Daphnia pulex: one gene and its partner. The protein of the gene in region 2 binds, or shares a complex with, the protein of the main gene of each other region. Links are inferred from orthologs where the notes say so. Each region holds a gene or a part of one and is shown on either strand. Other genes may lie near its edges. The genes, in order: small ubiquitin-related modifier-like and SUMO-activating enzyme subunit 1-like.

Region 1 (16,273 bases), on a different chromosome or scaffold from region 2:
GAGTTTGGTTGGGAAGTCATCAATTATTAGCCTCGGTGAGTCGTTTCTATCTGATTTTCTTGACCTTATCCCATTATTCAACGCAAGGTTGGAGCGGAATAGCTGTGACAATTGCCCTGGTCACCTGCGGCATGCTGTGCAAAGAGCAGGGCATCACCGTCGTCGGCATCTGCCTCATCTACGATCTCTGTGTTGTCAATAAGGTAAAAAGACCCACAGTTTATATGAATTGAATAGAGTACTATATGTCTGCTAGTTTTCCAATCACGCGATCCCCTCCCGGAAATAGAGACACTCTTGTTGACAATACTCGTGTACTGTACCCCGGCGGCTGTTGACGTTCACCCTCTCGGTAACTGTTTGAACAGGAGATTTAAAAAGACGTGTGCTTCGAGTGAACTTGTTGGAGTGATACAATCAAGTATTTATGCATGACAGAGTGATTCGTTCCTCGCGGCCAAACTGTTTAGTTTGTTCCGGTGACTATACATAGGCTAGATACACTTATCGTTCTCCCCCGAGTTTTGTCAGCGGTGACGTTCACGGTTCACGGGAAAAAAGGAGGGAGGAAAAGGACGAGAACGAACGAACATGAAAAGGAACGTGCATCCTGCTGGGGTGCAAAAAAGGAAACCCTTGTCAATCACATTGTGTATAGTTTGTGTAACAAAAGTCAACGCCTCTTTCACCAACTCGACTGAACGCTCCGTGGCAACACCCATCGCTCTACAGTGCATGTAGAATACTTGATTCGAGCTCCTTTTCTCCTTTGACCTTTTACAGGGTCGTCTATAACTTTATTGAACAATGTCGGATTGCCCTCGAGCACTGAAATCAATTCTAATCGATATGTTTTCATTATTTCGGTGACAGCTGTATGGCAATCAACTATTGAAAGTCGTCAAGGCTTCGCTTGGTGCTGGTGGACAGTTGACGGGATCAGGGCCCAGCCACGTCGGGAGTAAGGCGCTGCATCTAGCCGCCGTCAGTTGCGGTCGAACTCGTTCCATTTTCCCGCGTACCGCTGTCCTGACCATGTCGACGTTGGCACTCCTAGGAGCCAGGATGTACGTCATGGGATCGCAATTGCCCGTCTTCACTCGGTCAGTTTGTCTAATTGCACTTTGCCGTGTTTCTTCTTTTTTGTTTTTGTTTTGAGGCCTCATTAAAAAAGGTTTTATTTTCTGCAGGTTCGATAATCCGGCTTCAGCCTCTTCGTTTCCTAGTCGTCACTTGACCTACAATTACCTAGCTGTACTCAACGCCTGGCTGCTGACCTTCCCGTCGTCACTCTGCTGCGATTGGACGATGGGCACTGTTGCCCTTGTCGAATCAATGACTGACCCACGTAATCTTGCCACTCTTCTTTTCTTTTTCCTCGCCTTCCGATTCGTTTGGGCGGCTTTTTTCCAAGGAGACCCGGTCATCATCATGGTATCGTATTCCCAACTTACGTGTTCATCTTACTCTTATCGTCTGTAACACCCGATTAATTCGACAGGCTTTCTCCTGGATGGTGTTGCCCTTCCTACCGGCGTCCAATTTGTTTTTCCCCGTCGGCTTTGTCGTTGCGGAGCGTGTGCTCTACATACCATCCATGGGTTTTTGCATTATGGTCGCTTACGGATGGTCCAAGTTAGCTGGCTACACTAAACCAAGGTTTGATTGGATTTCGTTTGTAGAATGCTAGTCCAGTTAACCTGAGAAAGGAATGACGATTCGTGCATTTCAGTTGGACGAAAGCAGTTCATTTGGGTTTCTTGCTCCTGTTCGTTTTCCACGGTCTGAAGACGTACACCCGCAACTTTGACTGGGAATCGGAGCAGGCCATCTTTAGTGCCGGTTTGAGAGTCAATCAGCGTAACGCCAAGTTGTTCAACAATGTCGGTCACGCCCTCGAAAGTCAGGCTCAGTACACCGAAGCCCTCGAATATTTTCTGCAGGCTGTCAAGTAAGGCGATTTGTAATACCACGCTACTGTAATATATTGTGCGCAAGCAATTCAATCAGCTTGTACAACCGTTCCATTGGTAATCTTATACCTAATATGATGTCTACTTGATGAAGGGTTCAAGATGACGACATTGGAGCCCATATCAATGTTGGCCGCACCTACAATAATCTGGGCCGGTTCAAAGAAGCCGAAGAAGCTTATCTCAAGGTACTGCACCCATTTCCTCTTGTTGGAAAGGGAATCAAAATCAAATTAATCCTTGTGGGAAACTTGATATGAACTGGTGTTGTGGCGATCTTAATAGGCCAAATCCTTGTTACCGAGAGCCAAGCCCGGTGAGAGTTACCAGGCCCGCATCGCTCCCAACCATTTGAACGTGTTTCTAAATCTGGCCAATCTGATTGCTCGCAATGAGACCCGACTCGGAGAGGCGGACGCTTTATATCGCCAGGCGATTTCGATGCGAGCAGATTACACTCAGGCCTACATCAACCGCGGAGACATCCTCATCAAGATGAACCGGTACAGTATATAGTTATATAGTAACATGGCGAGTTCATAGTCGTTGACGGTTTATGTTTCTCATCGACAATTTTGTTTTCCGCGGTAAATCCCTCAGAACGAAAGAAGCTCAGGAAGTGTACGAGAAAGCCCTATTCTACGACAGAAACAATCCAGATATTTATTACAACGTAAGTTTCCGCTTTCGTCAAATTTACGCGAATGTGTCGACTCTTTTCAGTATGTCTGGCTAACTTTCTCTTTTATTTGACAGCTGGGAGTGGTTCTGTTAGAGCAAGGGAAGCCTAGTCAAGCTTTGGCGTATTTGGAGCGAGCGTTGGAACTGGAACCCGATCATCAAGCGTCTCTACTGAACTCGGCTATCGTCCTTCAAGAAATGGCCGCAAACGATAAAGGCCATCAAGATGTAAAATATCATTAAAACTCTAGACAAGCTTAACTATCCTTCAACTTTTCGTCTGTTTTTGCAATTTGATTACATGTTATCCAGAACGCTGAATCGGATTCTTCGCAGAGTGAAGTCAATGCCGAGGTTACTCAGTGGCGCCGACGAGAAGCCACTAAACGTTTAAAACATTTGCTACAGCTCGATCCCATTAATGAAAGAGCTTTATTCAACCTTGGAATGTTGGCTATGGACAACGGAGACATGCCATCAGCCGAACATTATTTTAAAGTATACTCCCTCAAGCTAATAATAATACGGAGAGTTAAAATGTATAATTAACTTTGAATTCTAGGGATCAGTGTTACTCAAACCAAACTTTCGGTCGGCTCTCTTCAATTTGGCCCTTTTACTCAGCGACACGGGACGACCGTTGGAAGCTGTACCTTTTCTCAAGCAGCTCGTTCATCATCATCAGGATCACATCAAAGGTCTTATTCTGTTGGGAGACATCTACATCAACAGCATGAAGGACCTCGAAGCTGCCGAAGGAGTAATATTACTTAAATATATTCAAGCGCTCGATCTGTTGTCTAATAGTTTTTTTTTTGTGCGTGCACTTTCAGTGTTACATCCGAATCCTGGAGCTGGATCCGATGAATGTGCAAGGACAGCACAATTTATGCGTTGTCTACGTTGAGCGAGGAGACTTAAGTGCTGCCGAAAAGTGTCTGCAGCAAGCCCACCGATTGGCTCCTCACGAGGACTACATCGTCCGCCACCTGAACATCGTTCAGACGCGCATTGCCAAATTGATTGCCGCTCAGCAGAAAAAACAGCAGCAAAAGAAAATCGATAAGAAAGACCAGCATCTTTGATCATTGATCAATGCCATAATTTTTACCCCAGCCATCCTTTACCCCACTCCAGATGATTGACGAGGCTTCTCCTGCCCATACTGATCCTTGTTAATATCTCCATGGCCCCTATCTTTGACTTGTTTATTCGATTAAGTGATCTTCAAACGCGAGTGACATTTGGCGTGAGCTTTTGAGTCGTCTGTGTGTTGGTGTGTACGTATGTATGATTGCTGATTGCCTAGGTTGCTGACTGACATTCCAAGAACTCCATTTGCAAAACCAGATTCAGAGTCTTTGGAAAGGGACTGAACAACTTTTCATATCGCTTTACTTGTATCTCACCTTTTCCTTCAAACTACTATCTATTAATCAAGTCCAGATGTTTTAAGAGAGTACCAGAAAAGTATTTGGAATTTGCAGCTGATGAATTCAGGTTCAGTGTGAAGGTGCCTTGATATTTATAAATGTTGACAACATATGTGTGAAATACGGTAAGACATGAGAGAACAGAGAGAAATATTTGATTCACGCCATTATTTTTGTATGCTGGTGAAAGTGTTGGAGCTTTGCTATCTTTTGACCTTGTCCGGTCCGGTTGTCCGTTTTTTCTCGCGTGTACTATCACGCAAATTGGTGGGCGGCATATACTATGGATGAGAGGAGGCTTATTTACGTACGTCGCAGCTGAACCGCACAACCGTGCGCATTTCACTCGATTACAAAAAAAGGCCAAAACTGTGATATGAGCTTCATTTATGAAATAATATCCTTTCATCCTCGAAATCACAATCGGCATTTTGATCGCAAGTGCAAAGTGCCATTCCATATTTGTCCGTTCATCTTGTTTAGTTTTCGTTCTCGAATTCTAGTTTGTCTACTTTCACACTATCTATACTCAAAAATTCGCATATACCTATTTGTATATTTACGTGTATTTGATTCGAGATAAACGTTTTGAATCTATGAAAATCTATACGTATTTTTCTTTTCGTAATAATTTTAGGTTTTTTAAAAGAATATCCTCGCGATAAAACACAGGTGTTTTAAGTCTGACGAACAAGGCTTGGGAAAGGTATGCATATTACAATTTTAACCGGTTTTTAACCCCGTCATGGAATTACAAAAAACTTATGAACACATAGGAGTGCCACTAGAGACTATATGGAAAAATTACTTTAATATTCGTTTCGAAAAGCAAGTCGGAATTAAAATTTACTGTACTTTCATTTTTAAACGAGTAAAATTAAATTTCTCTCCACGACACAGAACTGTTTTTTAAACTTTAAATTTCCTATTTAATGAATAAACACCACCATAATGATCAATTTACGATCTGACATCTAATCAGAGGATTAAAAAAATGACAATTTACATTAAACAGAACGTAAACGGCTGGGCAGATGTGTATTGCCTTGTATGCAACAAACAGCACATATCCAGCTGGAATCACCCAGCACACTGAGAGAAACTCGCGATGTTCTCGTCCCATTTGTTTCTTTTCCAAGATCTTTTCCAAGATTAACCGAAAAAGATAACTAATAAAGAGGAAACAACAAAATGGAAATAGAAAATAAAGGGGGACTGTTCATCGTTGGTATCGATTATGTTTGCTGGCGTACTCAAGATTTTACCTTTTTTTGCACAAGACAAATTTAGATTTAAAATAGAAGGGATGAAAAAGATGGAGGATGATGAGGGCCTAACTGTAGCACACGGAAAAACAGAAACAAAAGGTGGCAACACTTGTTCAGTACCGCTGCTTTTTTTAAATCGCCTTTTTGGTTCTCAATATACAGACGTCCTTGCCTCAAGTGCTAATAAACCGATTACGAACATTAGAAAAAAAAAAGCTTACTTCCATTTTTGAAGAGAAAAAAGAATTTATCTGAAATGAATAAACCAGGAATGTCCCTTGTAAGAGCAGCGAGAGGACCCTCAAGTAGGATCAGAAGTGTTTGCCTTCCTTTTTCTTACTCTCGATGGAAGGGGGGCAAAAAAAAAAAGATGAAAGGTGGCGAAGGAGGCCGAGAGGCAAGGATTACTAGAGCTGAAAAATATGAATTTGAAAATCTTGTTTCTTTTTATCTTCTTTTCTTTAGCGCGACGCATTTTTCAATTGGTTTGAAAGCCAGTCAAGCCCTTCGTAAAGTCCATCTCCACTGGTGGCACAGGTTGCTTGGATATACCAGTTACGGTTGCGCAGAGAATGAAGTCCAAGTTTATCTGTGATTTCGGCGGCGTTCATAGCGTTCGGCAAATCCTGAATACAAGGATAATAATGATGTCATTGTTGTCAAAACATTTTTGAAAATGAAAGACAAGTATACTTGTTTGTTTGCAAAAATAAGCAACACGGCTTCACGGAGTTCATCTTCGGCCAGCATCCTCATCAACTCTTCTCGGGCTTCACCAATACGCTCACGATCGTTAGAATCAACTACAAAGATGAGACCCTAGATTGTAATGGACAATTAGAAAAGTCACTCAAATTTTTAGCTTAATAAACATACTTGTGTGTTTTGGAAGTAATGTCTCCACAATGGTCGAATTTTGTCCTGGCCACCAACATCCCAAACAGTGAAAGATATGTTTTTATATTCAACTGTTTCTACATTGAAACCTTGGGAATAAAAACAAATTACATGATAAAAACTGCAAGTCAAATTTGCTGAAAATTGAATAAATTACCAATTGTGGGAATTGTTGTGACGATTTCACCTAACTTGAGTTTGTAGAGAATTGTAGTTTTACCAGCTGCGTCAAGTCCAACCATCAATATTCTCATTTCCTTTTTGCCAAATAGGCCTTTGAACAGGGTGGCGAAAACGTTTCCCATTGCAAAGTTGGATGGAATAACTTAAGAATATAACCTAAAAAAGGAAGAATGGCAATTAGAATCACTGGAAAATGTTACAAAGATATATCTTTGCTAACTAATGACTAAACTGAAGCTAGACATTGAGCAACTGTCAAACCCTTGCTCAACGCCGACTCGGTGAAGTTTGTGGAGTGGCAGAACCGACTCGACACGACATACAATTACAAGTGCTTCGCAAAATGAACTAATTATTAATACACTTAGAAGTTGACATATTCGACTCTTTAGTAAATGTGGTGAAGGTAACTTACGGACTCTGAATCGAACGCAACGGATTCCAAAGAATGAACGAGCCCGAATTAGACTACGAGCAGAGGGTTAATAATGGCGGACGAAGACCTCTTTCAACTAGCTATTCAACGTTACGTTGCCACGTCAAAAAGTATGAAGTAGAAAAAGCTGTGCCCGACCCTCTTCTGGAAATCGTAGAGACTCGCCCACTCACCTTTAAGCTTGTCTCATGCGCTCCTAGTGACTAAAAACAAAAACACTATCAAAGAATTAGAACGTTAATTGTTAACTGCATGTTCATATTTGTCATTACAATTATTTGTAAAATTTATTTTCAATCAAGAGGATTGGATAGCTCATAATAGGATTTACCTTTTTTATACAAAATCAAGACATCTAGTACTATTATTAATAGTTGGAAGTTGTATACACTAGAGGCGTGAGTAAGGGAGACATTTTTTTAAAATAATGCTTGGATCGAATTTTATAGCACAGTCCAAGTCACGTGACTTGTTTGATTCCCACTCTATCGAGTATGTTGGAAGCCGATGCGCTTATTAACCATATGTTTTGTCTTTTAAAAAAAGGATTAAAGGCACTTTTCGTATTGTGCACGAACTTAACACGTCATCTTAGTAGATCCGTCTTCCTTGAAAAACGGCCGCCGACTGTTAAGAATGCTTGCATTAATCTGAACTATTTTGAGAAATGAAACCCGGCGAATTTTTTAAAAAATATAGTACATGGCACGAGAAAATTGAATGACGAGCCGGCATTGTGGCATAGTTGACACATTAGTAACACGGATCTCTTGTCAGAACCCAGCCGTTTATTTTAAACAGAAGTTGGTCATGTTTATTGACATATATTGACTTTGAGAGTTTAGAGTCTAATTTGGCATGATACAAGTTATAACGAACGAAGTGAGGTTTTGGGGGAGTAATCCTATTTCTGCTTTGGTCCCGTGACGTTTCCGGGTCTCACTGTTTTATTTGGCACTTTTCTTCTTCGAGCGTTTGTTTTACTTTTACATTTGCCCTTGCTAATAATCTTCACCTCTAAAATGTCATAAAAATATCAACTGTGCATCGTTTAATTATGTATGATATAAAAATATACGTTTTTTAGGCTGTAATTTGTTCTTGCATGCAACCATTGCGGGATTCAGATAGGTAAGCCCGTCGTTGCCGCAGACATTTTTCACGACTGAAGAATAGTTACATTCACGAATATCAGGTCGAAGACAGCGTCCTTTATAAGCTATTCGAATCACTGAGAAAACCAAACAAATTCAACACGGATGGAACCATTTCCTAAAAAAGAATATTTCAAATAGCCTACTGTTTCCAGGGCTAGCCTTATTATGGCACTGTAAAGCCTTCAGATTCGTGTAGGAAATCCCGTTAACCCCACAAAGTGGTTTATAACTTTTGGGAATTTTACAACTTGTTGCACCTACTACTAGTACAACTGAACAACACAAAATAAAGTATATTATAAATTCTTGATTGACAATTTATTTTTACCAAGCAACAGCGTTGTGCAATGCATCCTCTCTCGAAAAGGTTTGTACGCACTTTGCGATCAAAAGCAAGAAATGGAAGTCAAGACCTTTCATCCTTGAACTTTGATGTCAATATTCATAGCAATACAAGTTGATAGAAACAAGTGGCAGAGTGCCCATAAGTTAACGAAAGGATCATTCTCGGTTACGAAAATGGTTTTATTTATTCGATTGGAAATGAAGAACAGAAAGCAGGGCGATATTTTGATGACAACATTGGAAATTAAAAGACAGTTTTGTCCAGAAAATGTGGAAAGTTTTCCATGAATGCATCGAGGTTCTTAAATTAATTGCCACCAGTTTGTTCCTGATAAACCTCAATGACATCATCATTCTCCATTTCCAACTAGAACAGCAGTACAGAAATTCATTACTTGCATATCATTTAACACATCAGCTAAGTGCATTAGACACAACATACCTGTTTAGGGGTTTCATCATCATTAATTCGCCTTCCATCAAACAAAAACCTCAGCGAAGTAACTGGCACACCCTGAACACAAAGAAAATCTTTATCAATAAGTGAAAAAAAAAATGACAGGAAAAACCCTTACCACTCTTTCACTATAAGACTTCTTGAGTTTGCCCATCTGTGTCGTCATCTTTACTCGAAAGTGAATTTCATTTGAATCCTGGCCAACAACTTTCAATTTGATGTACTCTGATCCTGCATCACCGGCATCAGGTTTCTGATCCTGTATATTAAAAATAGAAACCACAGTTAGCCAAATTGGTATAGGGTAATGCAAAGGCAAACAGTTAAAATATCGAACACATGATCAGAACTAAAAAAAAATCGACTATCCAGCAAAGACAACACGTGAAAACAAATTTTATGGAAAAAGAAACGAATGGGGTAAATTTAGCAATACTTAAAAAGTAACATAGATAGTTACGTGCTTACATCAGCCATGGTTAAAACAAGTTCTTTTTCTAAAACTAGCAGCACGTTTGAGACGACTCTATTGAAGAATAATGAATAATGGCGTGGGCCAAAAAAGCGCCGAGAATAAACGTTGCCGCACCAGCTATATACGTCTGGATGCCGGCACTGCACTAAAAACTTATTTTAACAACGGCCGGCCACGTATGAAATGAGTACATTTTTTTAAATTAAAAAACTTTTTTTAAATAAATTGGAATATATTAATAAAATTTGTAGGATTTTTTTTAAATTTTTTGCTGCTTTGAAGAATATTTTGCTTGAAACAATTGCACAATATGTAATTTGGGATTGATAATATTTAAAATTAAGACTGATGATATCCAATGGCTTGATTCAATAAAAATATAAATTGAGATCTTCTTCGACTACATTTTGGCTGCTTAAGCAATTATTACACAGTTAGCAATCGTTATGGATGATTATTAGCAACGTGTGCGTGCAGTTGATGTCCCTTAATTTAATTTGATAATCATACATCATATTAATGTTTCATGAATTAATAGGTTTACAGCCGTCACTACGTCCATAGCACTCACTCCATAAAAATTTTTGCTGAGATTGTAAATGCCAACCGCAGCATAGAAACGAGTTACTCCAATAATCAGTTAGCAAACTAGAATCGAATTTGGTGAGTTGATGACTTGAATTATTAAATGGCGGGACGACTGCTGGTTTTCCCTGTACGAATTGATAATGCTGTCGTAATAAAAAAAGGAACATTGTTGCGACATCTGTAGGTAGTAAATAATTTGTGTTGTTACAGTTACAGTTTCGCATCGTCGGATTTTTTTCTGTTTGCTGACTTCGTTCTTTTGAATGAGCGACACACCAGTATTAATCGACCAATAGCATCCTATTCCAGGGGAATTTTAAGAAAATTTCTTGCTTACTGACAAGTTGTGTCTTATGGAGTACAGCAAACCGAAATTATAGAAGACTATTTTATTAGATATTTTTGAATGAATGTTAAATTTTGGTTTGATTCTGTAAACCTTCCACTGGAATTCGAGCAATTTTTTTTAGTAGTCAAACTTGTTGCTAACCCAACGAAAAATTTCCAACAGCGTCATTTTCATTTTAGGAGTCGAATTTATTGCCATTTTTATTAATTAATTCCATATAGCTATTAATGCGTTGTTGTACAAATTATTTTGTTCTAGATTATTGCGCTTTAGTATGAAATAAAACCTTACCTTTGAGACGGTTTGGGGGTTTTATTACAACAAGATAAATTTTATTATACAAGATGATGCCTCTTCTTTACAGAAATATTTTTTAAGCATTGCACTGATCCTTCGGTAGTTGAACAACAGTCAGACGAGGAAGCCAATCAATCTTTGTCAAAACTTGTTCGTTTCCTGTATTGACTTCATCCATGCTATAATGCAATATAGAACTAGAGAGGAAAAAAGTACAACTCACTAAGCCACACGATTGTCAAATTGTCAAAAAAGATACGAAACATGTGTCATATTGATTCAAGTATTAGCCGTGTGATTCATATACAAATGTGTATCTAATGTATTATTTGTTTTGGCAACGAGTGTACAATTCACATTTGAATGAGAAAAAAATAGAACGGAGGCAGAAGGTGCATTATCCAGTTGACACACGCAGCAGGAGCAACTTATTATGTGAGACATGTGGCGTGGAATTCAATTAATCTTCGTTCGCCGCAGGAACGAATACAGACCGTATTTTTTGTATTGTTTGATTGATAGGATTTTAAAAACTTGGCGGTAATTTATTTGGTTGCGTACGATGAGAATCTACTTTGGCTAATAGAGTGGGGTTGATTCTACTCAATGAGCACTGTACTTATATTTTATGTGTTTCGTCCGAAATGAAAGTTGTGACTACATAAAAATTAAACTAGAGTTAAGTCTACGAATGTCTACTGTTCTCAATTTTGCAAAGAAGCTCAATGCTATTGTCTACAGCTCAGTCACGAATGAGCAATTCAATTTCAATTCTCGTCGCTGTCGTTATTAATATTCTCTTTCCGCGTGATAACGGTGACGTCCTCTTGATTGGGTACTGGACCACTGGAAACGTCATAAGGAGGTGAAGAGGATTTACCGGCCGTCGTACTTGGCTGTTGGCCTGTGACTGCAAGTCCTGAACGAAGTGATTCGAGAGCCTCACCCAATCCACCCCTCACTTGATTGAATTCCTGCACTACTAACGACAAGCGGCCCAGCAAAAAGTTCAAATGGTCGTCAACTTCGTTGACCCGTTCCGTTACCTATAACAAAGTTCATTAATCAATTTCATAATAATGTCGTTCGAAGATATTCGTACCTGGCCAACTCTTTTGTCCATGCTGCTGAGAGCTTGAAGACTACCGCCGACGTGTTGGGCTGTCTGCTGTTCCACTCGTTGCAACAATTCTTGTGATTGACTGGCGCTCTGGTATAGCACGCCAATCTGACGCCAGACCTAGATGATTTTAGAAATGAATTCTATAAATTAGTAAATAGGGAAAAAAAAAACTAATAATAAAAGTAAAATCATTTTTATAGTCCGTGTACCTGTCCGAGTTCATTTTCTAGTTTACTTGTCATGTTAGTAAGTGCGGTACTTTGATCTTTGATGACCGAGAAGGTGACGTCGTCGACCTTGCGGGCTAATGTCGAGTTCAGATCGCCCGTTTGTCTGCGGATTGAGTCGCCCAATTCAAGCAAAATTTGCTGGACGGCAAATTCGAGACGTCGTTTCGTATCAAGAACTCCATCAGCCGTGTCGAGAAGTACTTGTTCTACTTTTTGCAACCCGTGAATTTCTTTGGCAAGACTTGCATAGCTTTTGTCCACCCTGTCGGCCAATGTCTCGGCCATATTTCCAGATTCCTCCACCTAATTCATGAAAAATTATCATGTGGTAATGATATTCAATTATTATTTGATTGTGAAAGAGATTATTGGCATTACCTGGTCTTGGATAAGCTTCTGACTCTCACTCATTTTGTGTTCAAATGCTCCAAGTCGAGTTTGAAACACATCGGTGACATTCATCACACCTTTGTCAATTCCGCGTGACAAAGATTGCCAACCTTCTTTGAAGTTTTCGTCTAGTTTCATCTGTGACTGGTACGAGTCGTTGACCAGTGAATGAACAGCATCGAGCGTTGGTTTCAGATGGACTTGAATAGCGGAAACAAGGGCCTCAGGATTGCTCTGCGATCCGGAAGACGATCCGGAATTCTCCAAAGATGTCTCCAGCTTTTCAATACCGACTAAGATGGCTGAAGTGTCATTCTTCATTCGACTCGCCTGGATGCAATCATGAAATTTTCATTGACATCTGTTCTCAAGAATGAACTCTGAAACTCGTATACGTGATCAGAAATGCGGTTGACACCAACTCCAAACTGGTTGACCAGATTCTGAGCATCGCTGAAAAACTGTCGCCATTTGCCTTCCGTAGCCACCAGATTGACAGATGCAGCTCGCAATTTCTCGGCATCGCCAGCTTGAGCTTTGCCCAGGTTCTCCATGGTAGTCAACTGTAAGCTCTCTAGTCTCTCACTGCGCGTTTCGTACTTTTCTCCAACGATTTTCACCTAGGAAGTTAACAGCATGTAGCTCTCACTCGCGATCTTGACTGGATTAATTTTCTTAATACTTACTTCGTTAGCCACAACTGACAGACGGTTTTGCAATGATTCTTCCACGCTCTCCACCTTTTTACGAGTGCGAGTCAGCTGTTTCAGTACTTCGCCGAGATCTCCAGTTGAAGCGGCTGCCGGAGCAGGACCACTAGGAGCACCGGCACTTCTTCCGGATTCAATTCCATTGCGGATAGCCACTGTATTGTCAGTGATTTTCTGGAGTTGAATTCTCTCTCTCTCGTCCCTCTGATATAAAATATTGTGGTTGATATTTGACCTTTAATTATAGATCGACTTGAAGTTACCTGTATGACCATTTCTTCCATCTTACGGAGCCGCTCATCGGTTCGGGCCATGAGGATAGCCAGGTTCTCCAGATTCTTATCTTGACCACGTGTTCGTGAATCAAGATCTCTAAGGGAACGCGTCAGGGCATCTCCCAGCTGCCTCTCACGAAGTTCGTGGCGTTCGAGCTTGCCCGTCTGCTCTCTAACTGCTCCGACCAGCGTCAAAATAGCGTCCCTGATGTCCGAATGCCTACCATTTCGAAACTCGATTAGATGTGTTATTTACCGCAGATTGGGAAAAGAGACGAGTTATAGCCTAATTCGCATGGCAAATGACATCACCATGCCTACGATTAGAATCTTTTAAAATGTTGTCGATTGAGGTCAAGGCATTGAGGAATTCGAGGAAGCGGGAAGACTTCAATTCACTTGGAAACAAGGATGACACGAGCGACATCATCGACTTATTTCAAATCGAAAGGGAAACGGCGACCTCTGTCACTCTGTCATATCGCCGGCAAGTTCCCACAACAGGAAATGGGCGTTGTTTCTTCGGTTTTGTTCATTGAGCTACTCAATCCACGTGTTTGAATAAAAGAAATCAAACATTTATGAATCTTTATTATCTATGGTCAAATCTGGAGACTCAGACAACCCCCTTACCGCCGGCCGCATATACGGCCCATGGCGAGCTAGAATTTCCGTTCAAGCGCTTCACAAGTAAATGGCATATTCTTGTTTTTGTTGTTAGCAGCACATGTGTTCAGCAGACTTTTCAACAACTATTAATTCCAGAGCAACGATGGGAGCGCAAAAAGAAAGAGGGCAAGGTTGTTTTGAGCAACTAGATAGACCCCCATGAGGCGGATAGCATAGAGGTAATTGGATACGGCAGTGTGTACGTCTTTGAGCGCAAAAAGGAGTACTCGAAAGAGACTTTGCTGATTTTTTCCCCACCCAAACCTTCCCCGACCGCTGGTTAGAAGGAAAATTTAATCTTAAAGCTTTCTATACATCACATATCCCTTTATGCTAGCCATCATCTTGTAATAATGGAGAAAACTGCAAATGTACACAATGAGGAAGACTTGCCATGCCCAACTAATATGATAAAATTTTTACTCACGTGATGAGAGATGCTGCGGTCGCTCCTGGCTGTTGAGGCGTCTGGGTGGCTACCGGATGAAGCAAAATGACGGCCGTCGCCGAAATCAAATACCAGAACGTTCTCATTCTTTCTTCAGATGGTCCGACTGAGGAGGCGGACGTAAAGCTTCTGAAGAAGATGGGACGATCTCGGAAACAAACTGTGGGTTCCAAGAATGAGAGAGAACTGTCTCTGCGTCAAGCCAAAGCTAAAAGTGAGCAATTTCGAGTCACTTTTATGTGGGCTTGCCGCAGCATGACATTTATCAGCTGTTATCGAATTATCAACACAAACTGACAAAAGCAGTTAACTTTTAAAAAATAAGCCATTTTCATTCCGTATAATCACTGATTTTGCTTATTGTGATCAGTGCTGCGAGTAGTTATTATATGTAATACTGTATATATTGTCGTGAGAGAGTTATCAGATAAAATTAATAAATACCCTCTGTATGTCGTTCATAAAAAAAATATTTGAAACAGTGACACCTAAGCAGTCATGGTGGACCTAAGTGGTCTGATGCCATGTCTAAATAGACCGTACCGTAAGCATTCGTAATACATCGTAATATGAATGTTACTGACATTTCACGTTAATTACGTACATTGACGAAACGCTTCTCCGACGTGTTCGAATTTGAAAAATTTTTTAGGAACACCCTATTGCTATAGTTAAAGACAAACTGCTGCAAATCGGTACAGCATTCGCAAGCGTAAGCGTACAGCGAAAGCAGATGTCTGGGGAAAATGTCTCAGTATCTCCTTTAACCGAACCTGAAAAAAATGTTTATTCTAAACAAGAAGTAACGAATTTTAGCTGACTGACCTTAATTGGATCAAATAAATTCACACATTCTTAACTTTCTATTGTGTGAATTTTTGCAGTTCATGCTATTCAAAAGAAAAAATATTTATGTTGGTAGCTATTAGATTATTTTATTTAAAAATAAATTTTTCCGTCTGTCATTGAACGCAATACGAAAAAACAGGAAGTGCCGTACGCCTCTGAATCTCTGAACGGGAGATATTCGATTGATCATTGATGATAAGACCTGCACCTGCTGTCTGGCCAAATAATTAAAACGAGAATGACGTATTAAAAAAGAGTGACGCATACGTAAGTAGCGCATCAAGCGCTACTTTAATGATTGGTTCATGGAGATGGGAGAATACTTTAACATTATATTACATCTTGTAAAATGAATAATTTAAAGTTGTGATTTCAAAGCAGCTTGAAGTACGTACATATCCACGATGAACTCCTAGGTATAGTTATAGATTTTTAGAGCAAAAAACATGGGAAAAATAAAATTTGTGCAAATATGTACAGTATGTAACGTAGATTACCCGGAAACGTAATCATCAATACCAGTATGTAATGCGTTATTTCACGTTATAGTTGACTGTTCGCTGTGCCAACGTCCAAATTTTCATTCAAATTTCATCGCTATCTTTTCTACAAAATTCAACGTTAGATGGCGGATAAAATATCCAGTTGAAAAAGAGAATCATGGCGGGAAATTAAAAACGACAAATCAATCAATCACATCTAATACCGTTTATTGGATTAAAGATTATAATACTGTATAAAAGGTAATAGATTGAGTGATATTGCACTAAAACGCAAAACGGCGATTAAAATATGTAAAGATTAAATCCCAACAATAATTAAAAATAAAAGAACTACAAGAGTAATATTTAGAGCCCTTATTTCTTTCCTTAACTAGAAAATGTATTTAGCCCCCGGAAACAAAAGATTTCCCGAAATAAGCGCTCGACGAGTAGTCAATTCGTCTACACATAATGAAAAAGAAATCAATGGTTACTTTACTGCGTCTATTTTTATTTTTGTTACTTGCAACTTGCCTAAATTGACATCGCTGGATAGGT
Region 2 (16,845 bases):
AGGCTACTCGATGCGCACGAACTAACCAACAAGAAATAAAATAATTATAACTCCGTGTCCCTCATTGGCTCTTGACGTAAAATTGATGTTTAAAATATTCGTAGTGTCGACCCTGAGAAATTTGTTCAAAAAGTTGCGAACGACTTACTTTACTTGTTTGGATTGAATGACATTTGAGATGACGGGTCGGATGACAATCTTATTTTCTCACGATGTCGAAACATTACCATCAGGAATGACTCGCTGCATGACATCGGATGTTTATGATTAAAGTATAGTAGCGGCGTGCAGTCTCTGATTCCAAAATAGAGCGGGAATAACTTGGAGTCGTGGCGTGTCAGTTTATTCCTATAGCGAATCAACATAAACCACAAAATAATTATTGTATGCTCCACAAAATATAGTTACGTACTAACAGACTTGAATACTTGTTACTATATATCGCAGTTCAAATGAATTGTGTTAATGATGTCAGTGAGTCAAGGGTTACTTCATGAAATTTTGCATTATACAGTCATTCTACTAAATTTGTGTCCAATCCAGCTGTTTGCCTTCTAATGGCCGACACTTTTGAAGCAAATCCCGTCTAGCATTTTCCCTTATTTTCTGTCGTAGCCTACGCGTGACGCGCCACGCCTTGTTGTAAGATTTTCTTACTAAGAAATGGCTCATCTTATCGCTGCAAATAACAAAAAGGCAAAAAGGACATGTAATGATAGGGGTGATCATGACACTACGTATGTTTAAAGTTTTAATTCTAGCTTTACTTTTGATCAAATAAATTCATTAAAAAATGCCAAAAAAAGGGAAAAAAAGAAGCTGCTTTCACCTTCCGCACCTACTGAACAATTGGAACAAGACATGGAGTAAGATGTCTCTGATTTGCGATGTCTGCGATGAAAAACTGCACTTTTCTGTTAATAACCACACGGCGTGGTAGCTGCTTAAAAAAAAATACATTAGATGATGTCAAAATTTCTTTTAAAGAACAGATAGATGCCATGTTTACGCGTCTAAGTACAGAACATAAGATTTTGTTTCACGATGAAACGCGATGACATACTTGATATTATTTTGTCTAGGTCGCTGGGTTTTTCCTACCGGGTTTTTCCAACTGGGTTTTTCCCATCAACGAAGTCAGCTCTTTTTTTTTGGATTTTGGATTTTGGACTACTTTCACGGGTCAAAGGTCATGCATGGTGAATATTATTATTATAATTTTTTGTGTAGCGTGAGTGATAAACGGAATAAATTTAGTAACGTAGTGAAATGTTGACTCTGAATCGCTTAGTGGCAAAGCATTTGGTGGCAAAGGAATCTTAGTTACTGCTTACTTAAGTAAGCGAATTGAAAGTCAGTTATTAATGGTTTCTATTAGCCGATTAAGACGGATTAAGATCAATAATAGCTTTCCATTTTGTAGTCTACTCCTACTGCAATACCTTAAGGAGACCTCTTATATATCCCAACTAAATAATGTGACATTATCATCTGTACAAAAAAATCTGTCTTTTTCACGTGTTCACGTTCCTTACAATATATTTTTATTAGTAAAAGTGTAGCCTATCTTACTTCGATGCCTCCTATTGATGTAATAAATAGGATTTTTACAGAAAAATAAACGATGACTTACTGATCGAGTAAAAATAATGTTGAAGTTCGAATGTTCCAATAACAGACTCGTGAGGATGGAGTTTTGTAGATCATTTTTCACCTGCTACACCTGAAAAAAGAGCTGTAAATAGAAAACAAGATTAAAATAAGCTAATGAACGAAAAATTTTCCCTTCTTATTCAAATCAAACTGATGAACCAACTGATTGCCCACCATGTTAGCAAACTTACAAGTAGACATATATACACTTGTTAACTCTACATGAAAACAAAATTTGATAAAATATACCAGCATGTCGACTGTTATCTATGCTAAATGGTACTACACAATTTTACTTTTAAGCTAGCTGACTAGCTGTTATGACAAAAACTAAGTTTTTTTTTGTAACCTTTGTTCATAAGTAAGAAGTTGGTTCTTTTTGTAAAGAAACATAATCAGAATAAATAGACTACATTTCACGTGCTCCAAACGAAACGAACCGAACGCAAATATAGAAAAGCTCAATCTTACAAGTTTTTTTGTTTGTTTTTTTTCTAAAAGTCACAATCACACAATCCTAAGTGTGATAATACATGAAACAGAAACAAAAGACAATTACCGATTGTAGGCTAATGAGCTTCCGAAAATGAAAAACTACAAAAAATTGTCTGGTATTGTCTGAATTCTTAAATTTCAAATGTGTTAAACAATATTGCAGACGACGTTTTGAGAAATCGAGCTTGACCAATGACCACTCGAGTCGAGAGCTGCCACCTATCCGGCGATTCACCTATTGTATTGAAAGAATTAACACCATTTTTCAATTTTCACGGTAGAAACTAGAAAGGTAGGTAAACAGCTAAATCCAACGAAAAAGATTGTAAAGGCGCGAACTAATTTTCAGTGTATTAGTTAGAATGTTATAGGTTTATTCAACTTATTCTTCCCAAGAAAAGCAATAATAACGATTCAATAGATTTTAATTCTCAAGAGGAATTAAAAAAGATCAAATAAAGTTAGATCAGCTTTTCATAAACCAATTTCCACGTTTAACAATTGGATGGACAGGTATGGAAATTTACCGCAATATCCGCATGGCCTACACTCCCATAGTGCACGTGTGCCTACTCACCGTTCCATTATGGAACATCTTGATTTAAGGGCTATTCAAGTTTCCTAGTATCACAATATCAAGACCGAAACGCTCTGTTGGGCCCCATGAGGAAAATCCGGCGTTTTTAGTAAAAGCCTTATCACTCCCCCGAGACTATACGAAAATGGGTTCTCAAACATGAAGTCTAGCGAGTCTAGACACTCTTTTTTTTTCAAATTTCATGATGTGTTTTTAAAAGCCAGACAGTAAATTTTCATATTATACACTCTGTAACCCGCCTGTGTATGTTAAAGTATTAGAAAGAGATAAGATGTGGGATGCGGAATGGAAAAAGCGATGATAAGATTGTTACCTCAAATAATCACGAGTTGGTTTTCTTTCCTTCCCGCCATACAGTATGCCAACTGATCTCCCCGCACAAAGTTCCCACTGACACCGCGCTGTAAGTCGTTATTCTATATAGTTCCCTAAGACACAGTGTTTTCTTCATTTTGTTCTCTTATTCAGAAGAAGGCGACTGTTATTCAATGGCCCAGAGCCGAAACGCAAGCGGTAATGAGCAAACTGGGCCGGCCAGCGATGGAAATGCTCCATTAACTCGAAAAGTGATTCCACATTTCGTATCGTGGGTGGCTTTTGTCGCTTGTCTATTCTACGTCTACTATTACGAAATAGTGTAGCAATGGCATTGTCTGCTGAACATCTAGTATCGTCGAAAATAAAAGAATTCAATAGCTAGAAATGAAAATGACTATTTCGGCCCTCATATTGTCGTCAGCAATAAAATAAAGACAGTAAAATGAACTGGAAAAAAGTTACACTCGAGAACTTTCATTACGACTCTATAAAGCGTCAATAAAAATAACAAATAAACCATCACGGACAACACATTAATTTGACCGTACAGACATGACGTCGGCGGGACCCAAATTCCCGTTTCCTTTTTTAAAAAAAATGCCAACCGATACGGTATTCGGCGTGAGACGATAGCCTATCTTGAACTTCCATGTTAACCAGCACTCTAAAAATTTTGTTATTTCTATTCGTTGGCTAATTAGTATTCAATCGGCGCGTGAAAAAAGAATCCCGACGTTGCATTACTTTTAGCCATCTAAACTTTTCCCGTTGGATTGAAATTTTGTCGTTATGTCAGCTACGGCTAAGGTTAGTAGCCATTTCCCACAACATTTGACGGTCTGCATGACAATCAAACAGTCTTGTACGAACTATCACCAAGTAGGATTGATAGGAGATGCCCTACAATCTAAACTGAAAGATGAATGGGCACTTTGATAGATAAGACGATATCTTTTCTTTCAAACTTACAAATTTCTTTTAAACTTGAGTGGAAGGTAATAGTCGTGATGGATCAGATAATGCCGTTATGATCGTAACTCAAACCGGAAAGGGTGCTGAACATCCAAAGCTGGCGGTTAGATCCGGATGGAGTCGTTCAATTTTCGATGCGAGACACGAAATGACCGGCAGTGATCCTATCAAGCTCCGGATGAAAATGACAAGCTCCTCCTCTCAAACCTAGCATCAAAACAGTAAAACAGAATAGTGGAGGAAGAAGATGTATAACACTTGGGCTCGACCTACATCATAAAAACTCGACGTCTGGCCAAACGTCGTTCACAGTTGATTTCTAGTTACGTCAAATTACAGTTCAACTCGCGCTTATTCCTTGGAGGCAGTGATTACAACAAACTTCCCCTTCAACTCTTTTCCTGTCAAAACGCAGAAGGTAGGCATCAGGTTTTAAACAGTAATTTTCTTTCTTCTTCTTCCAAAATAAATGTATATACTTGCGACCATCCTGATGTTGAGTTGCGGTCGGAAATCCGCATCAGCCGCAACAGTTCCGAGAAATGAAAATGTCTCGGGCATTTTTATTCAGCTTCAATAGGCAAAGAGTAACCATGGGTCCCACATTTCCGTTTCTATGTAAAAACCGCCACCCGCTGCTGTTTCTAACAATCGAAATTTTGCATTTTGCACAGCTTACCCACATGATACGGTATTATTTCTGCGACGCCAAAATTATTTAGAATGCACCTGGGTGGCCAAAAGCACTGGGGAATGAAACCAGCAGTCAGGGATGATGAAGTGCGTCCGCGCGTTGTTTTCCCCTTCTTGTTTTCACGATTCCAGGTGTCTAGAAAATTCTAAAAACAAAAAAGGAAAATTAATATGAGGCTTTCGTGAACACGAGAATGAGGTTTGGGTATTACCTGGAAAAAACATTTTTCTTTGGATGTATCACGAAGGGGGTCTTTCTTTCCATCAGCCAGTCAATTGCGCAAGACTAGTTACCCACGCGAAATGTGTAAAGTTAATTGAGGTGCTGTTACGACAGCTCAGTGTCCGGATGCATATGCACACACTTACGCGGTTGGCTGACCTCTACCACTTATAATATACCCTGCTGGCGTCTCTCTCACGCGAAAGAAATCATTTTTAATCGTTCGTCACACGCTCGTGGAGAAATATTCAATCATGTTGGGGTGACAGTAAAAGCAGTCGCGTGAATTTAAGTCTTTTTCTTTCTAAACAAAAAAGAACTGGAATAAGACATGTATAAGAACACGCGTTGAACAAAATAAAAAAAAAGACTCTTTTGGGCTCTTTTTAATATAGTACTGTAAGCTTATAGTTAAATGAACGGAATATACTCACGCCAGAATGGGTTTCTAGGCTGTCTACCTCGGATGACAGGTTCCCACGCAAAAGGTTGATTCCAAGAGAAGAGTTTTTTCTTTTCTTTTTATATCGAAACCCTCTGCGGGAGAGGAGGAGGGGGGAAGGGAAGAAGCCCAGGAGTAGTCAAATGACGACAACGAGGAAACATCCCGTAGTTGTTGCGCAGCGTTCGGACGGAACAGTCGAGAGAGCTCCGTCTTTAATTTCCAGTACCCAGTGTCTTGGTTTGCTCCAGGTGACTCACGCGGATTAAAACAACTCGATCGAGGAGTGCGAAGGTCATCTGCCCATCCGGAAATAAGTCCTACAAATTGACAGACACGGAAGAAGCCCGGAAAAAATTTAAAACAAAACGGGACTGTTAAACAGTGCGGAAGTTGACCTTTTAATGAGGCGACGTGACGTGTGTTGGTCCAGCGGCAGCGAGGCGTCCGTGTAGAATAACTGACGCGATGGCGGTGCGGAAGATGTTAACGAATGCCGGACAACAAGCCGACTAGTTTGACCCAGTGAGTTTATGTTGTCGTCCATTTGTCCAATGAGAGGGGGCCAAACGACGACGAGTCAAGGATGGAATGAACAATGCCGACTCTGACGATCCCGTTATACCTCCGTCGAGTCGACGACGACAGGAAACCACCACCCACGCGACTCGGAGCGTGACTCTTCCGTCGATTTCTTCTTCTTTGCTGCTGCTGACCGTCTTGTCTTGACGATAGCTCCAGCCCGGCAGGAGGCGGCGGCAATAATAATCCAGATACTTTTTTCTTTCGGCAACTGTTTGTTGCACGCCATCAACGTTTGTGTGTGTCTATCGTGTGTGTGTTGCGGTTTTCGGACGCTTTTGGTTACTCGTTTGCATTCGTCCGTGTCCCATTGTGGCTCATTTCCTGCACCCAATCGACTTTCTACCACTTTTTGTTTAGCGGTTATTAAGGTACATAAGATCCTCTGAAGCCGGTGCGGAATGAGATAACTGCCATCGGCAGGATATGGAAACATTTTATGATGTACCTGGTCGGTTGATTGATTTAGTTTTCTGTTGGTTTTATTACAGGTGAAAATGCGTCACTTTTACAAGCACGTCTTATCAGGAATCGTTTTCTGGTTGCTCCTCTCACAGAGTTTGAGTCTGTTCAACAGTTCCAGTGCAGCATCGACGTCCAGAACTTCTTCTTATACTTCGGAGGTTGCCGAAACGGAAGATGAAGCTGAACTGAGCAAAGAAATGGCAGTGACTCCCAAAGAGGTGGAAGAAGCAGATGATAAGGAAGATGAAGGATCGGAAGGCAGGGATTTCAGTGAACTGTTGAAGATTGTCAAACGGGAAATTAGTGACGGTGAAACCGGCCGTTCTTCGTCGGGCATCTTCAACACGACACTCGCCTTTACCATTCCGCTTTTCTCTTTCTCGCTGCCAGACAGAGCCACGGCCGGAAAGGACTACACCAAACAGGCCGCTTTGTCGCTCTTCGGTCTGGCCATTGTCGGTGGTATAGCCATCATGCCTTACGTCTGGGCCGCCCGCTCTCCTTTAGGGAAGAAGACTGTCGTCGAGTAAGTTCTATTTCCAAAATTTATACGAAGGAGAAGAATTCAATTTGAAATTCAATTTTAAAAATAAAAACAGATCCAGCAGAGCAAAAAAAGATGAAATCTCTTCATCCATTCTGCCCATGATAGCCAATGTAGCCTCGTTGGCCGGGCTGGACGCCAAAACGTGCGTGCAGCGTTCAGTCTGCGAAACTTACCGAAATCCGGAACGCTACGGCTACCTGGTGTTCCCCGTCCGCTACTTTATGCTGTAAGTTCATAGGGCTTTATGTCGTCACGGTTAACTGAAATTCTCCCAAACTTTAAATAACTAAATGGGAAATAAAGGGGGAAGGAAAAAAAAAAGTTACGTAATGTTCCGCAAGAAAGAGTTGAGTGAGTTTATGGAGTCTACGACAGTTAAATGCGTTCACCGTTGGAGCTCCACCGTTATTACCAACTTTCACTGTAGCGTGACTCAACTCCCATTTTTCTTTCTTCTTTTGTTCAAATGCACAGATCCCCTCAATCCCGGGAAGACGATAAACCATCCGAGTATCAACGAGCAGCCGAGTTTGGGCGACAAGAAAAGGAAGAATGTGAGCGGCGCTACCGGTGCGCTTTCAGTCTTATCGGAGCGGCCAATTTCCTCTTCAGCTACTTCTTACCACCCTCAACGGCCTGAAGAAACAACCGAGATTGCGACTGAACTTTGCCCTGCACGAGCCCAGTCGCCACTGCAGCGGCATCCTGTGAATTGACTATTTAATATTTATTCAACTATTAGACATTGTTATTTATATGCAAAAGTGCCGTGAATTGCCCCTGTTTTGAAATGACAAAGATTTGCCAAAACTCTTTTCTTTAACCCAATCCCATACTTTGCACACCATCTTTAATTTATGCTTAACCGCGACCGATTAATTATTTTTTCCCTCTCCCCCCAAAAATTGTGTAATAATTGGCGGAACGAACTAAGGACGTCCCGCATAGGATTGATGCCGTGAGTGATAAACCACTTGTGTACTGAGTTTACTGGGAATCCAGATGTCGAACACAAAGAAAAATGAATTAGATTGATTGATTTAAGAAAAAAAAAAAAGGGAAGATTGTTACAAAATCCGTTCAAAATCCAATGGCTTCGACAACACCGTTGAAATCTGTGGCACCGTTAAAGAAAAAGTGATTGCGGATGGGTGCGTCTTTGTGGGACACGGCTTTGATAATTTCTTGAGCCAAAACTCCACCCACAACCGCAGCCCCTGGACTAAGTTCGCCAAATACCACCCTAAAAATAAATTCACATTAATATTAAATAATATAACACACTGACATTTGATTGAATTTATATTAATGCTTAGTGGGCTATCAAAAAATTCTATTGCGATCCTTACTCGTATGCACAGCTGTCAATTATTTGGTTGTCCAGTTTCATTTCGTGTTGAATGTGATCCCGGATTTCACACAATTTCGCAATGTCAGACTGACGGTTTGCAACTTCTGGATCGCGTTTCATTTGAGAGCGGAACATCAGCAAACCTGTGGTGAATATCGGGCAACATTAATTAATGCACCTAAGCTATTCAATTGGAATTGATTTTTCTTGAATTTGTACTTTTCATCATGATGAAATGGCTCTTGATACGCTGCCAACTTCTTTTGTTGAGCTGAGCTGCTGCATCAGCTTCAAATGCTGCTTGTAAAGGAATATAGTTGAGAATATGCTTGACGGTTTTTGTTTCACTTTGGTCAGCTTTTGTCTTCAAAGAGCAAGCATCATTGGCAGCTGGAGCAGCAACATTTACTTCTCTGTATACACGAAGAAAATGTAAATATAGATTTCACTGTTGCAGTTTCTACTTGACTCAACACTTACTCAGCATATTCATGTTCAAGCAGATCGACAAAGAAGAAACCAGTGAATCCAAACACATCCCCTGAATAGAATGGAATGCTGTGCTTGCGACAGATACTGTTGACCCTAAAAGACTCTTCAACTGCCAATCTAGTTGCACAAACAACATCAAAACCACTAAAGAAATCTTCATTCTTAGTGGTAACATTGTCTTGGTCAGCTATGACTTCCACCATTGGGTTTAAACGCTGCACTCTTTCCAGTGAAGCTTCAACCACCTTGCAAACAAAACATGCAGATATTAACAATAAGGACAAAATTGCTTTAGAAGGAAATACTTACATTCTTTCCAACAAGTTCTCGGGGAACAAGGAAATTGGCAGAATTAGCAACAGCAACATTGTGATCCAGCAAGGTTAGGGATTTGATTCCCGACAGAGTCAAGTTCTTGGCGATTTCAGCACCTAAACCACCTAGCCCAATGAGCAAAACTCGAGCTGCACGAAGTCTGCAATATAATGCAATTTATAACTTGCGTTAAATGCACTCAAGATTTTTTAGTAACATTATCTTTTTGCAGACCTTTTCTGTGCTTCCAGTCCCCAAAGTCTGATTTGCCGGTCGTAAAGTGCTGCTTCAGCTTCACTGATGGTTATTTCTTCTTTGGCCACCATTTTAATACTTGCTTCAATTTTGATTGTTTAAATGTTTTAAACAAAATTAAAGTGACGAATTGAGTATCTAAACTACAAAAAGGTTTGGAAAAATCCCAGATCTCTCTGCAGTGGATATGTCCGTCTGAATTTTCGTAAAATTCATGGAGTGTAGACGCTGCGTTGCCATTTCCAGAATTAGAATATTTTTGGATATTCAAATTTTTCCCGAATTTTGAACGAACGAATAAAGAACGGTTTCCATCTAGTTTATTACCACCAATGCTTTACGCACAATGGGCTCCAACAATATATAAACGGGCGTTTTTGAAACGAGAAGAACAGAGAGGCTGGCTGCTGCTAACACCTAGAAATCAGGCCGAGCTTATGTTTGAATATGTACAAGTGCATTTGACAATGAGATGGGGAATGTGTGGATTTAGGGACACAGAACATCACAGACAGAATAATCGTCCACAATTAACACAAAAAGAGTAGAATGTCGAAGAGGTAATAACAATCAAATGATGTTGAGCATATATAAATGGATTGACGAAATTGATTGCATGTGTTGAGAGAATGGATGTTGACGCCAAACAGAGATATGGTTCGTTGACTGAAATGATATGATACACATCGCGTAATAGTACATCAGACACTTAACGACGACACGACAATGAAACAACGTCTCCAACAACAACAATAACAACAACAATTAAGTGAAACGTGTCGATGATGATCGGATTTTTTTCAAACACTAATTGAATTCAGAGAATGGTGCAGGCCGCTCCGTGACATCCGGAGGAAGAAGAATCCATCATTAGTCCGGAAGACATGCTAGCCCTTGCCATGCTACTTCTTTGCTGGGAACCTTGTTAAAACAAATACAAATTTAGGAATAAATCAACTTGAATAAATTCTTAGCAATTTGTTACCTGCAGGTTTGCCGTTTGTGTACTCGTTGCCGTGGTCTGGAGCCATTGGTAGACTGGCCAATCCGCCGGAATTATCTTGCAATGTATACCAATGCGGCTGTTCGTCAATGGTTCCTGGATCTTTTAACGTAATAAAAATCAAATTAAAGTGTTTTCATGCTGATATTAATTCAAATTTAGCTACCAGCAAGATCGAGAAGGAATTCACCGAGGAATTCAAGTCGGCCGTCGGATTGGTGATGCCACACCGTCACTTCCAGTTGACGTTTGATGAGATCGGCGGGCGGAACAGCCGGATAAACCTAATTTAAACATTAAACCTCAATTAAACAAAATTGAAATGTTAAACAGTTTGAATTGAAGCGAACCATAGTTTGGTGCCATTCCGGATCGCTAGTCAGGCTCAAATAGCGAGTCCGGCGTTCGTTTTCGACTTTCCGGCCGGGAAGCAGAACACATCGGACAAGCGGATCGGGTCGGGCGTCACCATTGGGTCGTCGGGTCTGCAGTTTTCTGGCCCGGATGATTGTCACGTAAAGGATGTGAGCCCGGCTGTCGTAGCAGGAAAGTAATTGGACTTGACCCAGAGGCAGTGTCCACTTGCGCTTCCGCACTTCAGGGTCCTCCAAGCATTCTTCCGGTTTCGGGACTTTATTCCGAATGATCCCTGCGCACCCGTTATCGATCCGGCGATTATTTCATCAGGTATGGACAAATCTATTGAGAGATTTATATATTTATTACCTTTAACGACCGGCTGTTGAGGTCCAGTTGGCGGCTGAGGGACGACTTCCGTCGGCGAAGCCGTGCTCAGTTCACTCGTCATATGATTCCGGTTGTTGCTATTTCCGTTCATGTCGATTTCCTCGCGTGGGCCGGCAATGGTCCTCGTACATTGCTGGACGTTGGACTCGGCGTACTGCGAGCTGGCCTTCTCCCTGGTGGAAATCAAAAATAGGATCGTGAACGGTTAGAAGATAAAAACGGGATTGCGTGAGTTGTTTATTTATACCCGCAAATGACAATCTCCACTTCGCCTCGGGTGGATGAGATTATACTCTGAACTTCTTCGAACGATTTGCTGTTGAGCTGAATGCCATTCCACTCGAGGACCTGGTCACCTTCTTGGACTTCGCCGTGAGTGTCGACCACACCTCCAGGTGAAATCTCAGTCACGAAAGCTCCGATTTCGCCGTGCCGACTGCCGGGAATCTCCAATCCGCCCACCACTCGCATTCCCAATCCGTTGTCTTAATGAAAATAAAATAAAATAAAATAATTTGGACAATAATTTAAACGAATAAGAATGAATGAATTACCGGTAGTGGCGCTGGATTTGGCATCGCATGTCAACAGGATTCTTTTGGTGGGAAATGGATAGCGTCTTTTACCTGGTCCTTTGTGCTAATAACAAAATTGGCGTTCGTGCGACACCCCCCGAAAAATCTTTTATAGTCGCAATCGATTTCCCTTTTTTGTTTTTTGAAATTTAGAAAATTCAATTCAATTATAGTATAGAAACAAACCTCATATGGGCGGTTGGATGAGCGACGGTATTGATTGCGGTTGTCTTCTTCCGGCTCCGAATAGCAAGGATCTCCACCGTCATAATCAGGTGAATACTCATATCCTGATGGAACGAAACATGTCAAACATTTTGGTTTTCCCATTCAAATTTAAAAAAAACCGCGAAAATTTTTCATAAAACCTGATTAAAGAAATTAAATAATAAGAATTAAAAAGATAAAAACTTTTTCGACTCTACTCCACCGGTCCGGAATGAACCCAACTTTTTATCATTTTACTTTACACAAAGATAATAATAAAGTAATTGTTAAAAAATATAGTAAATGTTTTAAAAATAAATAAAATAATAATTAATTTGGTGGATGACGTTTCTACTCGCCGGAGCAATCGAAAACTGTTTGTTTCGACGATAAACCCGCTCGTGGTAGTACATAATTTCAATGTTTTTGTTTCTGAGTGCGTGTGTGCCTGTTCTCCAAGTGATTTAAATCGACTGCCGATGGAGAAAAAAAAATAATCGATTCGCCACAATCAACGACAAAACAACAACAACAACAACTTTTGGAAATAGAAATAAAAATAAAATAATGAAGACACTCAGTTTTTTGGCTCCAATAAATGCGATAATTTAAATCGAGTTAATATGTATAAACATTAATGAAATACATTTAGTGATTGTTATGTAATGTAATAATAATAGAAGAATAATAGATCGAATGTCTAATAAGATAGAGAGAGAGAGAGAAAAAGGATTTGTTGTTAGTTTTCTTTTTGCGCGACGAAGGCCCGAAAAAACGTGTAATTAGCCAGCCAACATTGATGAGAATTACATGCAATGAATTGAGAGAGAGAGAGTAGAGAGTAGAGAGTTAGAGAGAGTTAGAGAGAGAGAGAGAAAAAATGAAGTGTTGGGGGTGGTGGTGGTGGGGGGTTGTGGTGGCAAGGGAGGGGAGACAAGGAAATAATTTTTGTTATTTAAAAAAAAATCCAACAGCAGCAGCCCCAAAAAACTTTTGACATTTTACACACACGATTTTTGGTTTGTCTCTCTATTTTTTTTTAAATTTAAATTTAATTATTTTTATTAGGGATGGGGAATTAAAAGGATAGAATTTGATGCCTTTGATTTTTTCCCCAAGGGAAGAGTTCAAAAGAGAATGAGGCAATAACACATATATAACGATATATTGCGTATATGCATGGTCTGCTGGAAATATGTAAATTGTCCCTCACGGGTTTGATATCTCTCTCTCTCTTTTGTTTTTTCACGCAGCTAATAATTGCACGAATTTTTTTTTACGAAAAAAAGGCCCACAAAATTGTTTTTGGGGAATTATTAACGAGCAAAAATCAGAGAGAGAGAGAGAGTGAAAAATGGGGAAAAAAAAAATTCAAAATAAAACAATTTTGGAGGGAAAGATATGGAAAAATGATTCCCTCTGGAACACACACACACACAAACACCTCGCGAGATCCCTTATTTCCCCCAAAGTGTCAATTGGAAACAAATCCGAGCGTTCAGACCACCAGCAGCAACATTATGATAACGCGCCTTCTTCAAAAATTCAATAAAAAATGCAATAAAAATCAACTAAATCAAAACGATAAATTGAATTTTAAAAAATGATAAAATAGGGGAATAAAGAGAAGAAAATAATCATGCGAGTAAAAGAAATCCTCCATCGTGTTTTATTGATCGGTTGACAGGTTATCTCTCTGCCAAACAAAAATGACGTTCAAGTGCGCTGCTATCGACATTATAAGTGACGTTTAATAATTTCCAGAGAGAAAATTGGAAATTAAAAATTTTGTGATTCCCTTTTTTCTTTCAAAGTAAAACACTGACGCAATTCAATCCGTAGATCGAATCCAAATTTAATTTTTAAAAAATCTTTCTAATCAGTCGCAGAGAGAGAGAGAGATATTAAATATTGCATCATAGGGGGGGGGACTTCGACGATTTTGTTTTGGGAGGGGGGAATAATATTAAGAAGAGTTAAATATCGGGTCGGTTCATAAGGCACCAGGAATTGAAAAAAAAACTAAATTTTGTTTGTTTCGATCGACTCTCTAAAAGGAAATTTTAAAAAAGAGCTGCTGCTTTTTCTTCATTAAATAGGAAAAGAGGTCGAGGGGGGGGGGAATAGTGGGAGAGGCGGGATTTTTAAAAAGGGAGGGTCACGATATCAATGAGACAAGTGCACATGGCTACTATGTATATATGGCCCATCATTTCCATCAATCCAATTGAAATTAATTCTTGCACGAATAAAAACCAAAAAAAGGTAAAATTACGAAATGATGCCATCCAAAGGAAAAATTAAAATCAATAGAAATGAATTAGAAATTCGGGGATGTCCCACTATAAATAATGAAACAGTTGAGGGAATATAATAATAATACGTCATTCAAAAAAACGACATTATATGAAATGTGTGTGTGCAGCAGAATGTCCCAGAGAGAGAGAGAGATAAAACCAACATTTCTCTCGTTTTTAAAAATTTTACAAATAAAAATAAAAATAAATTTCATCAATGGAATAATCGGGGAATTATTTATGTTGATGGGAATGAATAAATGGCGGGATCGGAGGGGGGGGGCTTGACCTACTAAGAAATATAATACGGTGCTTTGACGACGAAAACGAATAATTTTTACCAAGACCACACACAACATACACCGAAGGAAAGAAAAAAGAAATACTACTGATAGGAATAAATACACAATCTACTCAAAAAATGTTGTTTTTGGTTCTTTTTCCATTTTTCATATAAAATCGATAATCTTTTCTTTTTTTAAATTCTTGTGCCTGCTGGATTTTAAATGGGGAAGAAGAAGATCAAACTGAAAATCAATCAAGAAGTAATGAAGAAAAGGAAAGAAAATGAAAAAAAGAAAATGGTGTGATCAAAAGATGGTTGGGTGGTGTGGAACACATCAAAAGCGTCAAACACAAATGAGAAAAAGATGATGATAATAGATAGTCAAATGTTTTTTTTTGGAAATATCTTAGTGACGCGTTAAAAAGGAAAACAATGAAAAGGCTGATGTCACTAAATTAATTTTTTAAAAAAGAAAAAAGAGAGAGAAAAAACTACCGGGACACAAAAACCAGACACACGTTTTAAATTGCTCGGTCGAGACGCGTCATCATCCAAAGAAAAGAAAAAAGGATAGAAGAAAATTAAATTTTTTTCTGTTTTTTTCTCTTTTTTTTTAAATATAAAAATGCAAATTAGGAAAAAAAAAATAAATAATTCAAAAGTGGGAAATTCATTCCTAATAAAAAAACTGACTGTCTATGGCCAAGAGTCCATTTGTTTTTTGTTTCTCTTTGATTCCACATCAAAATTAAATATTTTTTCTAAATTTGCTGGGATTCCCCGGCTCTTAAAATGAATTAAATTTAAGTTTTTTGTGCTGTTTTGTTCAAATATCGAGCTCGTTTTGAAGATTTAAAAAATAAAAATCCCGCCCAAAAAACTTGTGATGACCGAAAATATAAAAATAATTCAAAAATAAATTCAAAATGTTGCGCTGGTGGCACGCCGGAGAATTCGGTTCCATGACGGAATTATTTGGGGAAATAAAACCCTCCCCCAAAAAATTCCTGTTTTAATTTTTTGTTCTTTTTAGGGACGGGAATGTGAGGATGATGATGGCCATTTGATCAAAATTTTGTTCTTTTTTTGTTTTGTTTTTTAAATTTTGAAATAAATTTTTACGCGCCGAAATTCAAAACGACAGAAAAATTCAGCGCGGCGACAAATAGCGCGAGGTACTGTGCGGATGTGCCCCGGACGCTCCTCCTCCTCCGTACTTGCCTCGTGACTGGATGTGCATCGTCGGCGCATCGTTGGCGCTGGCGTAGGCCAAATCCTCCAGCAGCTTGCGCGACCGGCTGGGCATGTCCGGCAAGAGCGGCATGGCCGTCGGACCGGCCCCCGTGTTGTACATCATCATGTGTTCGCCACCGCCTCCGCCGCCCAGCTCAGGATCGCTGGCCAGAGGCGAGAAATCGTGCAGACGCTCGTAGAGACTGCTGGTGTAGTCTTCCGTCCGGAATGTGGAGGCCAGCCGCTCCATGCTGCGCTCCTCTTCCGTCGGCACGCCGGAATAGTTGCCAGAACTGCGGGCCGGACTGGCACCTCTCGAATGCGACCCGTACTGGTGGTGCTGGGCCGACGACATGTGGTGGTACGGACGTCGGGTAGGAGACACGTGATGGTGATGACCTCCGCCCATGTAATCCGGCTGGTACAAGTGACCGCCGCTGGAACTGCTCCGGGATCGATGGATGAAATCCCGATCTTCCCGCAAAATGTCGTTGATGGATCGCAAAACGGACGAGTTGTTGGCGGCGGCCGCTAGCCGGGCAGCGTTTCCGCCGCCACCGCCGTAGGATCCGCCGGAACTATTCCCGCCCACCAGTCCGTGATTGGTCTGATAACCGCTCACCTAAATGAAATCGAGCGAAAAATCGTCTGAATGTGAATCAATACATTAACGGGATCGATCCCGGATCAAAACGGGCCCACAACTTACGTCACCGGATTCGCGCAGACGGGACAGGCGGAGTAATTCGTCGTGAAGTCGTGAATTCTGTTCGATTTGTTGCCTCCGGCGTGCGATTTCCGCCTTGATCCTCTGTTTTTTGGCCTCGCGGGTCAGGATGTCGTCCTCGGCGTCCAGGAACTCTTCGTCGCTGCCGTAAGGCGACGGGTGCCAGGATCGAGGCTTCCTCGACAAGAGGATCGATTTGGAATGGCCGCCGGAATTGTGATGGCCGTGATGGCCGCCGTGGTGTCCACCGCCCAGCATCATTCCACTGCGATCGGCAATGTCGTAACTAAGTCCACGGGTCAACATCCGAGGATCGTTGGCGTAACGGGATCGACTCGACTGGCCAGACTGGTGATGGGAGGATCCACC

The links.
Region 1: the proteins of SUMO-activating enzyme subunit 1-like (region 2) and small ubiquitin-related modifier-like are in contact, whole or in part, in a crystal structure (PDB 3KYD), measured with the Homo sapiens proteins. The link is inferred for Daphnia pulex from reciprocal best matches to the Homo sapiens genes SAE1 and SUMO1. Residues at the interface, in NP_005491.1 of Homo sapiens: Thr179, Lys180, Val181, Ala182, Lys183; in NP_001005781.1 of Homo sapiens: Asp30, Ser31, Ser32, Glu33, Ile34, His35.

What each region holds. Positions count from the first base shown.
Region 1 is NC_060017.1:268,916-285,188, forward strand, and holds small ubiquitin-related modifier-like, read right to left. Parts: upstream 9,461-16,273; 5' UTR 9,308-9,460; coding exon 9,299-9,307; intron 9,090-9,298; coding exon 8,949-9,089; intron 8,888-8,948; coding exon 8,816-8,887; intron 8,741-8,815; coding exon 8,681-8,740; 3' UTR 8,533-8,680; downstream 1-8,532. Other genes in the region: protein O-mannosyl-transferase Tmtc3-like, read left to right, coding at 88-203, 874-1,103, 1,191-1,434, 1,502-1,659, 1,733-1,951, 2,068-2,161, 2,259-2,476, 2,574-2,646 and 4 more; ADP-ribosylation factor 1, read right to left, coding at 5,817-5,981, 6,049-6,174, 6,232-6,341, 6,410-6,557; serine protease inhibitor dipetalogastin-like, read right to left, coding at 7,776-7,888, 7,950-8,102, 8,172-8,300, 8,357-8,381; putative leucine-rich repeat-containing protein DDB_G0290503, read right to left, coding at 11,307-11,585, 11,642-11,779, 11,872-12,195, 12,271-12,612, 12,678-12,902, 12,969-13,196, 13,256-13,487, 14,364-14,470. UniProt on the Homo sapiens protein: Ubiquitin-like protein that can be covalently attached to proteins as a monomer or a lysine-linked polymer.
Region 2 is NC_060026.1:14,819,139-14,835,983, forward strand, and holds SUMO-activating enzyme subunit 1-like, read right to left. Parts: upstream 9,627-16,845; 5' UTR 9,473-9,626; coding exon 9,381-9,472; intron 9,307-9,380; coding exon 9,141-9,306; intron 9,077-9,140; coding exon 8,820-9,076; intron 8,753-8,819; coding exon 8,559-8,752; intron 8,483-8,558; coding exon 8,338-8,482; intron 8,232-8,337; coding exon 8,069-8,231; 3' UTR 7,948-8,068; downstream 1-7,947. Other genes in the region: uncharacterized protein LOC124204020, read left to right, coding at 6,474-6,967, 7,041-7,214, 7,463-7,628; histone-lysine N-methyltransferase 2D-like, read right to left, coding at 10,219-10,322, 10,387-10,506, 10,571-10,688, 10,755-11,053, 11,131-11,324, 11,399-11,636, 11,706-11,790, 11,913-12,016 and 2 more. UniProt on the Homo sapiens protein: The heterodimer acts as an E1 ligase for SUMO1, SUMO2, SUMO3, and probably SUMO4. It mediates ATP-dependent activation of SUMO proteins followed by formation of a thioester bond between a SUMO protein and a conserved active site cysteine residue on UBA2/SAE2.